Linked DNA regions of Lepisosteus oculatus. The protein of the gene in region 1 interacts with the protein of each later gene in a pairwise test. Links are inferred from orthologs where the notes say so. Each region holds a gene or a part of one and is shown on either strand. Other genes may lie near its edges. The genes, in order: caska and tbr1b.

Evidence for each region.
Region 2: the proteins of caska (region 1) and tbr1b interact in a two-hybrid assay, tested with the Homo sapiens proteins (2 studies listed by BioGRID and IntAct). The link is inferred for Lepisosteus oculatus from reciprocal best matches to the Homo sapiens genes CASK and TBR1.

Annotation. Positions count from the first base shown.
Region 1 is NC_090710.1:3,905,004-3,912,962, reverse strand, and holds the start of caska (peripheral plasma membrane protein CASK), read right to left. Parts: upstream 3,286-7,959; 5' UTR 2,385-3,285; coding exon 2,326-2,384; intron 1-2,325. UniProt on the Homo sapiens protein: Multidomain scaffolding Mg(2+)-independent protein kinase that catalyzes the phosphotransfer from ATP to proteins such as NRXN1, and plays a role in synaptic transmembrane protein anchoring and ion channel trafficking.
Region 2 is NC_090707.1:14,385,205-14,393,138, reverse strand, and holds the start of tbr1b (T-box brain protein 1), read right to left. Parts: upstream 3,394-7,934; 5' UTR 675-3,393; coding exon 1-674. Other genes in the region: psmd14 (26S proteasome non-ATPase regulatory subunit 14), read right to left, coding at 3,973-4,071, 4,602-4,664, 5,170-5,295, 6,091-6,165. UniProt on the Homo sapiens protein: Transcriptional repressor involved in multiple aspects of cortical development, including neuronal migration, laminar and areal identity, and axonal projection.

The DNA.
Region 1 (7,959 bases):
AGAACACCACACAATCCCCCATTAAATGCATGTAAAGTCACAAAGTATTAGTGACTTTCACACAAACAGCACGTTGTGAAAGTGAAAGGCCTTGCAATATCACTCGAGTGGAGTATCGACCTTCCCCTTACTTTTTGATTTGTCACATTTTAGATATTAGGTTAACAGCACTTTGGCTTTGTAGCTCAGTTTGGAGACCATTTTTGTCCCCATCTATACACCACAGCTGTGCCATTCTCTGCTTTTGTCCATGACAAACTGTCTGGACATACGGAAACATTTATGTAATTGTGAACCTCAAAATGTGAAACGATGCCTTATAAATAAAATTGATTAACTGATGCTTCTCATTACAGTTGCTAGTAGTGGCTTCATAACTAACCAAAAATATTTACTACATAGGCTACACGTTACACCTCAATGCATATCTCAGATTACCTAATTTCTGTTCACAATTGTGAACTACCAGGCACCACGGCAATGTAATTTGGTGTTCACAGTCAGGCCTTTGGTCACTAATGTTATTAATAACTATGTGTACATCTGAACAGCCTCCTTCAAGTACACAAATGTACCCACAAATCGGAAAGCACACACTGTGACATGCACCAAATCATCAGCCACAGCACCCTGCATTCTGGTTCAAAAAGAGAAGGCACATCCTGTGCAGGACAGACGGTTTGCAATCTGGTGGAAAGCGATTCCTACACTAAACCGACTCCTGTATTGATTTGCGGTCTGCTGGAGGAGAAGGCCAGCACGCTATACTCACTTAGTATGTGGATCGTAGTTCACCTCATCACGCTATACTGTGTACGTTAAAACTCTCAAGAGGGCGGAGCAGTAAAGCTCTCCATAGTTTTCACTTTCCTTTAGCAAAACCTGTGCCACGATCACAGAAGCTCATTTTCAGGTTTTTGTCGTGATTCCACTTTTTGGTCACGAATTTTCCATTTGCATTCTCAAAACACATCAGCGCTCTGAGCTCATAGGCAATTACAGGGAAAGTCTCCCATTTAATGTTTCTTTGGTGGGGAAGAATACGTTAACGACCATCATGTGACCACATGCAATCACATGTAACGCTTCACACTGAGATGTACGTCAACTAAAACCCATTCAGAACGTAAGCGGGATTGGAATGGAAATGTTTAGTATATTGGGATGAAAAATCGTAAGATTGCGTAAACCCTTCACTTAATATACGAAAAGGCATGTTATGCCCACGTTAATAATCAAGACAACCTGATCATCCGTGCACCTGAGCGAAAGCTGTCAGCGAAAAGCAGACACTGCAAAATCACCGTGACCACAAAAAAAAAGTCCCGTCCACGAAAAGTAAGCGAAAATTACAACACACGACACAGGTGAAGCGTTCATTTATAAACGGATGCAAGACTGCCATCTCTTAAACCATACGGAAATAAAGCGTTTACTAAAGAAGATATCCTGTTCGTTGTTCTGAAAGGTATGCTACTGCTTTAAAACTTAATCCCCGTTTTGAATAATCTTGGTCTGGATTTATCCCTTGCCAAGCGTAATTACACAACACGGATAAAGAAAGCAACGGATGAGTTCCCGCAATAGTTCAAAATAAACACTGATGAAGTACACACAGTGTTATCTTCAACAGCAAACACTTTCACTTTGCCAGTAGCATGCAGAGAATTGCTCCATTGCATACGGTCGAATTTACACTAAGAGTTACGTGTAACATTCATGTTTCACACACAGCTGTCCATTACCATATCAAGGGCCGCCTACAGATACAAGGATTTTAGAAAGGGTTTAAAATGTTACACACATTAAGCACAAAATCTATACAGATTAAGCAGAATGCCTCTGCAAAACCACAAGATTGACTGAATCTTGTACATTGAAAACAAAGGTTTAAATGGAAATCTATGAATGTGTCAAATCCCACCTACTGCTGCCAGATGTTGTAACTCAATATTGTCAACGCCTTTTTTTCTGAATACGTGCAGTCTCTCCAAAACAAGACCTTTTAATCGAAGTGCATTTTAAAACTGTCAACTGAAATGTATTAGAGCAACCCCAGGCGAAACGGTCACTCGTTTCAACTCCTGAAATCGTGAATTATCTCCCAATAGACTCGGCTGATGCACCAGGACAGTCATTTTCAATTACAACAGCCTAAATCGTGCGCTCAGGAACATCCCTAAAAACCTCACACCTAGTTTGCCAATAAGCACACGATTAAACTCGTGAAGCCATGAACATCTTGCGTCAACGTCTGTAACTAAAAAAAAAAAACAGAATGCATTGCATTTCATTGTACAATCTGAATTTTTACACGGCACTTACTTTCCGATCACCTCGCAGAGCTCGTATACATCTTCAAACAGCACGTCGTCGTCGGCCATGGCCCAACAAGAATGGGGAAATTATCCCCCAATATGCCCAGCCAAAACGGTATATTTAAAAATAAAACAAAGGATCACAATTCTGTACTGCTGTTCTTGGACTGGGGGAGGGAAAGACTGGGAAAATCGCGAAACGCCGTTCGGTGGCTTTCCAAATTCCAATAGGCGGAAAATTACTCCTTTCCCCCACCAAAAAAAGCAAAGGCGCTCGGGCTCCGGCGATTTCTGCGTATTTTAGTCCGTTTGTCTGACTCGGTCTCCGGCCCCACCTTCTCCTCGTCTCCCCGGCTTCAATCCCCAATCCCCCAGTTCTGAGGCTGCAAACTGAGATTTTCAAGCGATTTAAAATAAACACTCCGCCTCTCCTACGCCTGCGTCTGCGTTGCTCCTCGGTGTAGCTGTAGCTAAAGCTCTCCCAGTCCACGCTGCGATGCCTCTATATATAGATTTATTTCTTTGAAATAATATTGCACGGGATTAATCCAACAAATTGCGATGCCCTCCTGGGCGTGCAGCTAGTTTGCACGCCGTGCTTGCTTGGGCTCCTCTTAAAAGACGCTCATTGTCTGTCTTTTCATGCACACGCTTTTTTCCCCGTGTGTGTTCAGGTGTACCAGCGCTGTAAAAAAAAAATGGATCTCCCAGTCTCTTCTCCAGTTCGCCGCTGCTCTAGTTTTCCTCTCTTACTCCGCCACTCCGCCGCCGCCACCGCCGTTGCTGCTGCTTCTGCTGCTCCGGCTTCCAGAAACGGCAGGCTCCTCCCTCCCAACGTTACGAAACTGGCTCCTAGAGCGCCATTGTGGCTCCATCGGGAGCCTGGGAATCCTGCAATGCACAACGCAGCCCGGGGATCCAAGATGGCGTACCTTTCGCCTTTTTTATTAAACAAGACGCAGTTTCCTGACTCCTTCTTAATAAAACCTTGCTCCGTGTCCACCAATCCAAGGTAGCAACGAAAGCCTACGGCGCACGCGTTGGGCACCTTATACCCATCGGGTGACGTCACCTCTTTCCTTCACAAATGCTTTTCTTTTTCCACCCAGCCAAGCAAAAGCGGGGACTAGGAGAGGCGGCAGGAGAGGTGGCTGGTGACTCACCGCACCTGGATGGGGCAGGGGAAAGAGTTCATTGCTGAGGCGTAGCAAAGGCTTACTCAGCTTGTGCGAAACAGAAAAGCTAGTTAGCGAAGGCAGCTTGGAGTGTTAATACCTCTATTTCATAAATCGTTGTGAATAGAAATATCCACTTGGAATTTTGTTAAATGTTTGCCACCTTGTTAATCATTGTTTAAAAGCCATTTGTAAATGAAATATAGGAAGCAAACTTCGAACCTCTTCATATTCGCACGTACTGTACAGTGAAACTACCGAATGCATTTTCTTCCTATAGCGCTGTAACCATCGTGATGACCTGCTAGCTCGTCTTCTGGAGCTCAAGTCACGAACACGAGATGACAGCCCTGCCACATCACATCACATCTTAATGACCCCACCTACAACATCAACAATACACTGTATTCATGGGAAGCCCTGTATCTGAAGAAAGCAGACACTTGAGCCACTGGCAGCTTTTGCAGTCACAAAGGCTGACCTCGGATACAATTAAAAGCCACCCAATGCTCCTGGATTTACACTTAGCAACTGGGAGTTCAGGATGTTAGGCGGGTTCACCGCTCGCTATTCTGGCACGCATGTGTAAATGGATCCTATTTGTAAGTGTTTTCAAACCGCCTCAAAATCTAAACGTTTATGACCTGTGTGTGATTGCTATGGTAGCACTAAAATGTTTGCTGGAGGGTATGTCTGCTGTCGGTTCAGCCTTGAACAAGACAGACGTGCACGTGAAAGCAGCTGTGCTTTAGCAAATCACAAAGCAAGCAGTTCTTTTTTTCTGCTTTAAGTCATTTATAAATTTAAGGAACAGTACCACTGGATATATTAAACATATTAAAACAAGCACTATTAAGAGGTGTTTAAGGTTGTAAATGTCACTTCCCTAAAAAACATTATGTCACCTTTGAAATTCCAGTTGAAATTCTAAAAACGTTAAATTTTATTGGAACCGTTTTGACAATTTATAACAGAGCTGTTAATGGAAACACACTATGCTATATTAAAAGGACCAAAAATAATGGAATTGTTCCCACAGTAGTGTCATTGTAGCCATGTAACACCTTTTTATTTTCCTCATTTACATGCAAGTGTTTGTGTCTGTTCTATTTTGTGCTTCGTGTTAGAGGGGTGTCATTATGTGCATGTGGAGCCTGCTCTTTTGAATAAAACTTCACATAAACAGGAAGCCATTCTTAAAAAGCATCCACTTAAGCAGAAATGGCAACATTCTTCTATTGCGTCATTGTGCTTTCAAGGCTTCAAACAACATCAGAATAATTTTACAGTTCGCATCTGGATGCCTTTTCTGTTTGAATGTTTTTTATTTTGGTCAGCCCCTTCCTCTGAGAAAGATGGATTGATAGTATTGCAGTCTTCTCGCCTAATTGGGGCTAAAATATTAAAAATCCATTCTTGTCTTTTGCTAAAAGAAACAATAGGACTATTGTTTTTCTTTTCCTTTGGTTCCAGGGGGTGAGCCTAGCTTTTGTTTTTTATTCCTCTTTATTATGCATAAAACTTTATTTTTTTCAGCATGGAAGCTTCTCTGGAGAGATTCCTGGGAGATTTCCATCAATGCTTCTGGAAATTGTGAGAGTGAATAAAGCAAAGAGCTTTAACAAACAGCATGACAGAGCTGTCAAGCAATGTAACATGCAGAGAGCATTCCTTCCTCACGGATACAATGCAACCTCTTTCAAACAGAGCAGGTCATTTACTGCAGTTGTCACTAACGCATGTTATTTGTACTATTTCCATGGCCCATTCCTGTAAGACATTGGGTTGCCTGAATGGGCGGAATTTCAAATCTAAGAAAACATGGAAAAGGAATAAAACTATGGCATTTTAATCAAGAAGGAAATGTTCAAAGTTATTATTATTCTGAAAACTTTTGTTCTGTATACACCCAAGTACTCTTGTAAGCTTTTGTAGTGCCAAAGTATCTTTTAACCTCAATAAAACACTCTTTATCTGGAGATCACACAGAGGTAAAGCAAGGTGCGGAGTCAATTCAGCTGTAAAAAGTCCGTTATAATACCAATATTAATATCAACATAAGACCAGAAAAAAGCAGACACTAACGAGGGAGTATATAGTAGCCTGGCCTTGAGAATCACATAAGTTTCAACATTGACACAGATAGGAGCATTTCACCATTTCCGAGAAAAAAACAACATTACTCGCCAATTTTATTTCTGTCCTTCTGTAAACACCTCGTCTGGAATTGCCAGACTCATGACTGCAGCTCTGCATGGACTTGGGAGGCTTAATGAAGACATTAGACAAGCATCCTACTAGACAGAGGGGGTGCCCAGCCAGCTGCAATTTTTTTTTGTTTGGCAATTAGATTCTGCAGCTCTGAATAACAAAGTTCTTCTTTCAATAGAAAGAAGGGAAATAGCTGCTACTGATAAATAGTCATCAGTCATGCAAGCATATGGTCCGAATCAGTGGTCAATGACATACAGTAGAAGGGAATTTCTCAAGAGTGGTGGGTTTGGACCTAAAAGTTGAATGGACCTAGAAGGATTCTTGGGAAGCTGGATGAGAGGGTGTTGTACTGCTTGAGGTTTGTTAAATTCATGGGGGGGTTGAAGGCACCCCTGAAGTACAGAGATCCACCATCCCAACACACGACACCTTCACAGCAACACCCACAGGAAACCACAGCCAAAGCCAGGATATGCCAGAGAGTGTAACTTGTATGTGAACAGTCTCCAGGCTGTCATATGAGCCACTCAAGAGGCTCTCAGTCACTTCTCTGTTCAAAAGGTTACTAGAATGTATTCATGTATGATGGATGGATGTTTGCCCATTATGCCTTCTGGGATGTAGGGGCAGCAACATCCTGTTTCATCCTGTCCATAACATTTTGGGTTTTGTTACAGGACAGGGCTGTTCACCTTGTGCCCAACCTCCAACGTGGAGGACCTGGCGCCCAACGAGGGACACAAACCCACTATCCTGAGATTATGAGTTTCAAGCTCTATCACCAGAGCTAGTTAGGGCTGTTAATGTATGATGGGGTGTCCCTTTATTTTCTTCAAAAGCTTTAAGGCTGTCTGGCATTGTCTCAGATGTCTTTTACATATAATATCGCCTTGCACCTGTCACGCCCTCTGCAGCCAGAGGGCGCTCCTTCTCTGTCCTGTCCCTAGTTTCCTGTGTTTGCTCTCCTTCCGGTGTCTCTCTCTCTGGGGCTATATATTTCCGGGTCACTTATTCTGCTTCGCTCAGCATTGATGTTCAGATGTCCTGAGACCCGCCTAGCACCAGGTCGCCGCTCTGTCCGTGGCCTTAGGGCTTAGGTTTCTATACAGCACTCCAGAACTCTTTGCACTGCTGAGCCCGGGCTAACTCCCCGTTCCGCCACTTCGCATAGGGTGTTTTTCGCTCTCCTGCCTCTCCACGGTTTGTCCCTTCCGACATCTGTGACAGCACCCTTCCCCTGTCATGCATTTCAATGCAGCTCACATGTGAATAAGGTGCCATTCAAGGCTCTACGGGGTACATAGTCCATCCAAGATCACTTTGTACTGCAACGTCATCATTATTTCCATTCATGCGACCTGTAAATAATGGGTGCGGCTACACAATATTTCACAGTTTAATTTCTCAGTTTTGAAAAATGACATCTGCTGTGCCTTGTTCTTGAGCTGTTTTAACTGTGGAACATCTGTCCCCCTCTGCCTTCCTGATAATCAAGCGATCAGTTTTTCATCTGTCTCTTTAGGTATGCTACATTATTTTCACCGATGTAGTTGCAAACATTTTCAACAGAAGAGTGGACAGGCACAGCCTGAAAGCTTCAGTCATACGCTTAAGTCTTTGTCTTAGCCGGAAATCCTTTTTACAGATGTCTAAATGTCAGTAGGTTAGTTCTTCTTTAACCAGGAAGCAGCTCTCCTTTAGAATAAGCACAAAATATAACTATTTACATAAATCAAAGCAATCATAGTATTCTGATTCTGCTATGGGGTCTATGGGGCTAGTCTTATATATAAAGCCTTTCTAAATGAGAACCAGTATTTTATCTTTAGTACTTTTGCAGGCAAGGTATATTTTACTTGTAAGTTGCATAATTGACCAGTCAATTTTTGGCAACAGTACAGCATTTCAACCAAACAACCAGAAATGATAGTTTATTCACTTCAAACAGGAACTAATCAGATGAGCAATACTCGTACACTTGTCTCCATCAATTGTCTTTTCTATGGTATTTTCTGGAGACAGAAATAGAAGCAATTGCTAACATCCTCAGTTTGCCTTTTGACTAGGTAACGATATTATATTAAAGTCAGTTTTTGTGACCCTGCTGATGTTCTTTTCCCAACTCACTGGTGTGCTCTGCCCGATTGTCCCCAGAAATCAATCCAGCAAGACAAACAGTTCTAGGTATTTGACTAATCGCTCATCCAATGACCTGGTCAGGAGTATTTTTAGTGGGAGTTCAGTTGGTAATT
Region 2 (7,934 bases), on another chromosome or scaffold:
ATCATCTCGGTTTGATGCCTGTGGAACTTGAGCCACAGTGCCCTGTTGCACAAATAGACCTGGGCTTTACCAGGAACTAGCCCAGGCTGTGCAGAAGAAAACTGGTAGAACGGTCCTCCTTGGTAGGAATGGCCATACTGCTGGGCGTAAGGGTATCCAGCAGTTGGGTAGCCTTGCGGAGAGGTGTTAGACAGAAGGCTGTTGTATGCTCCATTGGTAATCACTGGGTGATGAGCCATGTATCGGCTCGGACTTCCAATAGAGAAAGCTGGATGCGTTGGTCCATGCTGACTTGGGTAAGGGAACATTGCACTAGGTGCAGCGGAGGCAGGCTGGGGTTGGCTAGATTGAGACAGCAGATACCTTTCTGCCGCAGATCCATCGAAATTATGACGAATTTCAGAGACCCCGTCCAGAACAGGAGATAGTTTGCTTCTCTGGACGTCCCCCGGTGCGTCCTTGGAGTCAGGAAAATTGTCTGCCTCTGACTGATTCGTCATCCCCCTGGAAATTTTTTTCAGAGGTGAACTTCTCTCCAGGTTGTCAGTGGAGGATATAATAGGATGGTCCTGCAAGGCAAGCTCAGATCCGCCTGAGTTTGGGTAACTACTGCTCACATTTAGAAATTTCTTGGAGAGCATGATAGATGGTGAGAGGCAATGCTCCAGCTGCATAGCTCTTTAAACAAAAGCGATTCACGCAACCTTTGTGAAACCTCTCCTCGGTTAACTTAACGCCCCAAAAATCTAGTTTGAAAGAAAACGCCTTCCCGTGGTTTGATCTAGTTTTTGTTAGACAGCCGATTAGCCAATTGACACTATGCTGTAATCAGACAAGGTTGCTTTTGATCCTTCTGCCAGCAATGCTAATGAAACGACTTTTGCTATTGGTTCGTTGCTGACAGTAATTTAATTAGACAGACATTAATTACGATAATCATCTGGGTCCTAATCGCAAAGATAGCAAATAGCGAGAGATGCACACAGACGCGATACGGGGTCTCTCTGTGACTATCAAAGATAGTTCTTTGTTTTGGACAATTCGATCTTAGAAAGTGGACCCAAATATTTCAAAGTATTTTAAATTAGGCTTGTGCTATTTATCCATTTGTGATATTACCACCCACGCAATAAACGAAATATAAACATAAATGAACACATAAAGCCTTTACATAAATGTGCATGAAATACATATTTTTCAGTTTATTTTACTAGAATTTTTAATTATTTGAAAATGGTAGATAGCGCACCGGTTTCCCCAAGAGCAAAAGCGAACCATTTTTTCTAGTGCATTTAATCTGTTAAAAAAAAAACAATTTATAGGTGACACATTATAGAGGGAAATGGGAACAATATTTACCCATTAACGTAGCAAGAGTAGCAAAGTATGTTTATGAGTGAAACAATTTATTATTAAAATACAGAAGATGACAGCACACTTCATGCCTTAAAATGTTGGTGATATAGCGTGAAATGATTCAGTACCTTTAAAGATGTGTTTACCGGTCCCGTAGCAAATGAATATTTTATGTTGGTACTTAGGACTCGATATGAATCAAAACGCAGAAGTCACCTAATAGAAAATGCATTCACCAAATGAAAAGCGTTAAATACCTCTTGGCTTCCAAGGTATTTTTTGACATTATATAATTAAATTCGCTCTCTCTCTATATATATGCGTGTGTATATACAGTATGAAGGTCGCAGTTAGCCTAGTATAGTTACAGACTGTTAAGCCGACCGTGGTGAAGCAATACAACTTTAATGCGTTAGAGCATTCCGTTCGATGTTGAAGTACCTCCTTCTTTGCCAGAATTCGTATAATGACATATATGTATTTTAAAAATCAATTTCCGCAGACGCTGAATCTTAAAACAACAAAATTTTGATTTTTGAAACTGTCTACGAAGCAGGCCTATACATTACAAACATCTGAAATCAAGTTTCAGATGAAAGTTTATGAAGAGTACACATCTAATACATTAATTAGATCCACAAGCACTCAAATAATTTAAAAGGGCCGTTTTATATGGTAAGAAAAAGACAAGAATAAAGCTTGTGGTCAATAATATTCACTCTCGCTATACTCGGAACATTTCGCTTAGAAATCAAGAAAAAACATTTTTAACAAAGAATTACAATCCGGTGAACGGCGAATAGGTAGTTGAGTTTTCCTGAGGAAAAAAAAAATATTCCCCAGCGAATTTCATCTTCTCAGCAGGAACTGGACCAATTATTTTTCTGTGTGAGAGACTTCTTGATGTGGAGGACTGTGACAGCGTTTCTTGCCAAAACTGGAGCAAAACAGATAGCGGACCGGCCAAGGTTTGAGGCTGAACGCTAAATTAACTCAGGAAAAAGTGTTGATTTCTGCATCTAGCAAATGCAAAATATAATCTAGACTTTGCACATCTTAATACATAACCGCAGGGTTACTACAATCGGATGGCTCAAGTCAGTGATACCCGGGCTTGCAGAGCAAACTATACGATTTCGTTGATAAAGATTTTTCTCCTATACCACATCCATTGTATCAGCACCTAAACATTCAGAATTTAGTCAGGAAAAGAACAGCACAGTGTACAGTGACTGTGTACTTAAACATTACAGCTAACCATTCATATCAAAACTGATGATGAAATATGTATCTTACAAACTAAAACGAAAATGTAAGAAACGTTTTTCTATTTTTAAATGGTATTTACAAGGGGAACTAATGTTACATCAACAATTCCATTATAACATTCTATGCAGCAATGTAAAAAATCTGCCAAAGCCTTAACCGTCAGACAAAAGGTGTAAAGGCAGGACTACATCCTTGACTGGACAGCAGTCTGGCACAGGGCAAACACACACGCTGGACTAATCATAGGCTGCCATTAACCTAGCCAACTGGTCTTTAAAAACTGGGTGCAACCCAGAACACCTGGACAAAACACATGCAAACTCCACACAGAAAGCACCCCATTCCAGAATCAAAGCCAGTAGTGCACTTGGAGATGTCTACCTTAGCTGGCACTGTAAGGGATTAGTTTTTCCCCCCTTATAATGACACTGTTGCCATGCACACATGCAATCAACTATGGGTTGTCCAGTGAGAAACACTACATTTGAGGAAATGCAAGGTGTAAGGCAAATGATTCAAAACACCTTCCTCTTTATTTCAGCAACTAATTAGCTATCTGTGGGTGGACTCAGGAAGGACTTCAAGCCCTCAAGAAGGTGGAACAAGAATGTGAAAGGGTTCCTCACCTTTTTATTATACAACATCCAACATTTTTTTTTTGCAACTGCTTAGAGTCTCATTAACATGCATAAGTATTCTGACATCCCAGGCCTTTGTTTCAGAAATAGATATTAAATATAGTTCACTTTTATCATTCCAAGCTCCTGAACAAAGCTGTTTCTATATAGTCCTGCATCCGAAAAATCAAATGGCTCTTTTAAAACATTTCACACTGATAATGCAGAAAACAGAAAACAATTTTGAAAAATAATCAAAAATGGGATTACTTTATTTTAAAATTCTCAATGTTTTATGTTCAAAGAAATAACCAGTCAACATTAAGCATTGGCAGTTAAAGATCAAGGTTCTGAATTTGTCATCTTTGTCTTTATTTTTAAGAGGTGATAAATATCACTACATACAAATAAATCCTGATCTTTACAGATATTTCAAGAAAATTGCAAAGTAGCATTCACCTGCACCTGATATTTTAAGAAAACCATGACGAAATAGTATTCTCCTGCACCTGAACCAAAAAACAAAAAGCATTCCTCCTAGCATGTAAAACTGACAAACTGTACATTAACTGAAGTTTTGTGCAACATCAGTGATGGGGCCAGACATTTATTCTGAGGGAATTAATTAGCGGCAATATGTTCACAAACATGTTATACAAGTTACTGTTTTTTTAAAAAATAACTGAAGTAAAAAGTAAAGAATAAGTATGACTTTTAAACAAAGGCTGCACTACTGAAAGACCACTGTGTCCAACATGGCAGCTAAGCACTGCACAATATTTGATGTCATCAGAACGTCAACATGTTCTTCTAAATGACGTTTTGGATCCTGTGAAGAAAGAAAAATGTTATTTGTTAAACATTTAAGTTGCCAAAGGCAACTAAGATGGTTCATTTGTTGTAACAAAACATTTTTATTTTTAACATGGAAAAGCACCTTTACATCTTTGGATATAATAAAAAAATCCAATACATAACTGTTCAGTTGAACATCACATACATTCCAAAAGAGGAAATCAAGATGAAAAAATTAGCTTAAAAATTACAGACAAAAAGCCCACATCTGTAAAAAAAACCTAAGATGTATACCTAGGGAAATGAAAATATCCTTATTTCTCAGTTTTACCAATTAAAAAATATCAAAGCAAACTGATTACATTTAAGAAAATGTCTTAAACACCTCTGTTTCAATTTTGCATACAGAATTTAGAACTCTATATGAGTTTCATAGATTATACTTGGAATTCCATCACATATTGTATGGCATGGAATTATTTACATTTTAGTATTTTATTAAATTTAAAAATACTGAGACTCTTCTTAGTAAACAGTAATGCTCATAAAAAACAAATAACTTGCCTGTTTTCCAACATTTTTTATTGCCAGCTGTTCAGGGGTCATCTTATCCTCCTCTTCTACAGCCTAAAATTAGGAACAAAAATATTTAATTTTTGTGTTTATAGTGATTTAAAGATGTTTTGGAAGCCTGTCTCAGAAGCATCTTTTAATCATTTCTGGAAATTTCAATAATTTAATTAATTCTTGTACATTTAACACGATCTAAATTCTGCTTAAGGTAGCGAGCGCACTGTTAGTTTTATCAAAGAGCTAAAGCTGTAACAAAATGAAGTGTTACTTGAGGCTTGGTGGTATCACAATGCAAGCAGCCACAAGCTGTTCTGAAGTGGATACTGATTGTCCATTAGTTTTTTTTCTCACTTGATTTGTAACAATGAAGTCTTTGAATAGTCTCACAAAGTCAACTCCAGTGTAACCACTAGGCTATTTGGCCAATAACCTTCTTGAAGGTAAAAAAGTCCAATTTGCTATCATTAAATAAAGGTCTTTATTGATGCGCTGCAAAGGGAAAAACAAGAAATCTTAATTTAATTGTAGTTAGAAAACAGCAAGTCTGTTGCTACATCACCTTGTTGTAGTTTTTGGCCAACTCAAGCATCTCCTTCACAATCGTTTCATTAAGCTTACAGTGTTCACTGTAATCCTGAAGGGTCAGTCCTTCCATCCAGCTCTTCTTATGCAAATTAAGCAGCATCTAAAAATAATATTTTTAGAGACATGCATGAAATGAAATTTAAAAGTAAATATATTACCTAGAAAATAGTGTTGTGTGCTGCGGTGCTGAAGGATGCCCACAAAGACTACCATTTATTTTGGGGTTTGGTAATTCTGGAAATCTGGGAGCAAGTCTGAGTAGGATTTAGATCTCCGAGTCTGTATACATTAATCATTTGGAGATCACCTATATGTTCACTTGGAGAACATAATCTGTTTTTAAGAGGCAGAACCAGGTTATAGGGAAAATACATAGTATTCAGTAAAGAGCACTGCCTACATGTGATTAGTAAATTGCTTTATTTTAACTTCAGTACTGTGATAATGGTAAACGACCCACCTTTGCAAAACATTACATCAATTGAAACCAAACAAAATGGTAAATTAGCTGCTAGCAGAGCTAGGTGGGTTGAATTGTTATCGTTTGCAACCCTTTTTATGTTTTTATATTCTTTAAAAGCTTCAAACGGTAATCTTATTTTAGGTGTAAACTTAGGTTTATTGTTTAAACTGCATCCTATTTAACTAATTCAACATCTAAACATCTGTTGTGAGGTTTTAATGCATCAAAATTAATAAATATGGGCTCTGACTGTTAAAACAAAAATCAATTTGATAAAATGTTCCTGTCTGTTCCGTAGTTTTGAGAAATAACTCCCATTCAAAATCAGTACAGAGAACACAAATGTCTCTTGTTACACTGTCTAAATCTTAAAGACTCAATCAACCTTACATTAACAAAATCTAAAAACAGTACAATGAAGAGACTACAAACCTTCTGTTCTAGTTCATTTTTCCTGTAGTTGATGGTAATTGAGTAATAATGCCTGTTCAATCCATGGATTAAAGCCTGCAAAAGAAACCGAGGTTTAAGTAATGTACAGTGATAGATTAAACAATTATGAAAAACATTACATTAAGGTTGACAGCTCTGTGGAGTACAAAGGAAACAATTTTTGAACATGATTCTCAAAGATTACAATATATTAAAGTTTTGATATCATTCAGCCACCTACAAAGTACTATTAAGATTCTTAAACTACTTTATCAAGATTCAAACATGAATTGGAAACCCCATGTGTACTGATTTTAGAGTGGAAAGAATTTGCTTTAATGTGTAAGAATTTAATTTTGATTTAAAATATGGCTTGCAATTTTTTTTTAGAGTACCTAGTGCAAACCAATTAATATTACTTTAGGATACCAATTAAAAGTACCACATGTTACTTCTTAGTGACCACAGTGGTTATATTTAAAGTGCATCACACTGTTTGTGACAAAGGCTATGTAGGGTTTCAAATCACATGGGTAAACCCTGCAGGTCAATTACATTAGCCAACATCTTTTAAAGAAGTGTTAGAGGTAAAGAGAAGAATTACTTCTCTCATTCAGACAATGTGCATTGTTTTATTAAAATTGAAAAGACAAAAAATATTGTTTTTTTTCCACTGGATACATTTAAATGTGCAAAACTCTTTGTATGATATTCCGACACAGGCTTTGTGGAACCACAAATTGTTTATATAATAATGAAGAGGTCTGAAGCTATAAGGTTAACGAGAGAGGTCATTACAGCTGTGCAATAAGGTCCAGTAATCTATTCTCTTGAAACATACAAGCATGGACTTGCCTATGCCCAATCAAGAGGCCAGACCATTTCCTACTCATTATGGTTCACTTTAACATCCACAGCAGACCTGTAGTTAAGGCTGTTTTTTTTTTCTATACCCACTGCAGGCAAGGGAACAATTCAGTTCCATGGTTTATTTGTCTTACTTTTAAAAGTTATTTGCATTCGACTAAGCTAGTTACACAACTAACCGAATCGGAACCCAGAATCTCTGAGGAACACCTGTAATTATTAATGACAACGCTATCTAAACCTCAGGGTTTTTTTGGGATGGGGAGGGAGGTAGTTGCAGCTATTTGTTTACTCATATGTGTTTTACTGTAGACATAACCATTAACTTTGAAAATCTTGATAGAAATAATTGGGCAATAATAAAAGTGGAGATTTTCTTACCATGTTAAATTAGCTTTATTTCTGTACATCAGTAGATCACAGAATTCTAATAACGACATACCTTACTTGTTTATTATTTGCAAAACTGGCAATCTTTTTTAGAGAGCACATTTTAATTGAACACTAGATGCAAATATCATTCCCTAAATACATATTATATTGGTAATAACATCTTTGTAATCAATAATAATTAAATCCCATATTTATTGGACATTCCTACATTTAACTTGCTCATTCTATAAAAAACACAAGGTTAAGATGAAATAATTTTTAACATTAATTCATTAAACCAATAAATATCATCTCAAATATAATTGCTCAGTTTCAGAAATCATCCATTCAAATGTGAACAGTTCAAACTTACTATTGCATTACATAAACCACTAACACACATTATTTGGCAGAGTGGTTTAAGGCACAGCTTAACTCTTAAGAGCTGGTTCACTGAACATGGAATAGAATACCACTTATTACCATCATTCACACACCACGTACTTCTCCCTTTTTGCTTAAAGCAGGGTTTACTGTAAAGTTTTAGAAGAGGAAACCACTGCTCAATTCTGTTAATAAAATAGAGATATGCTTGTATTTACCAG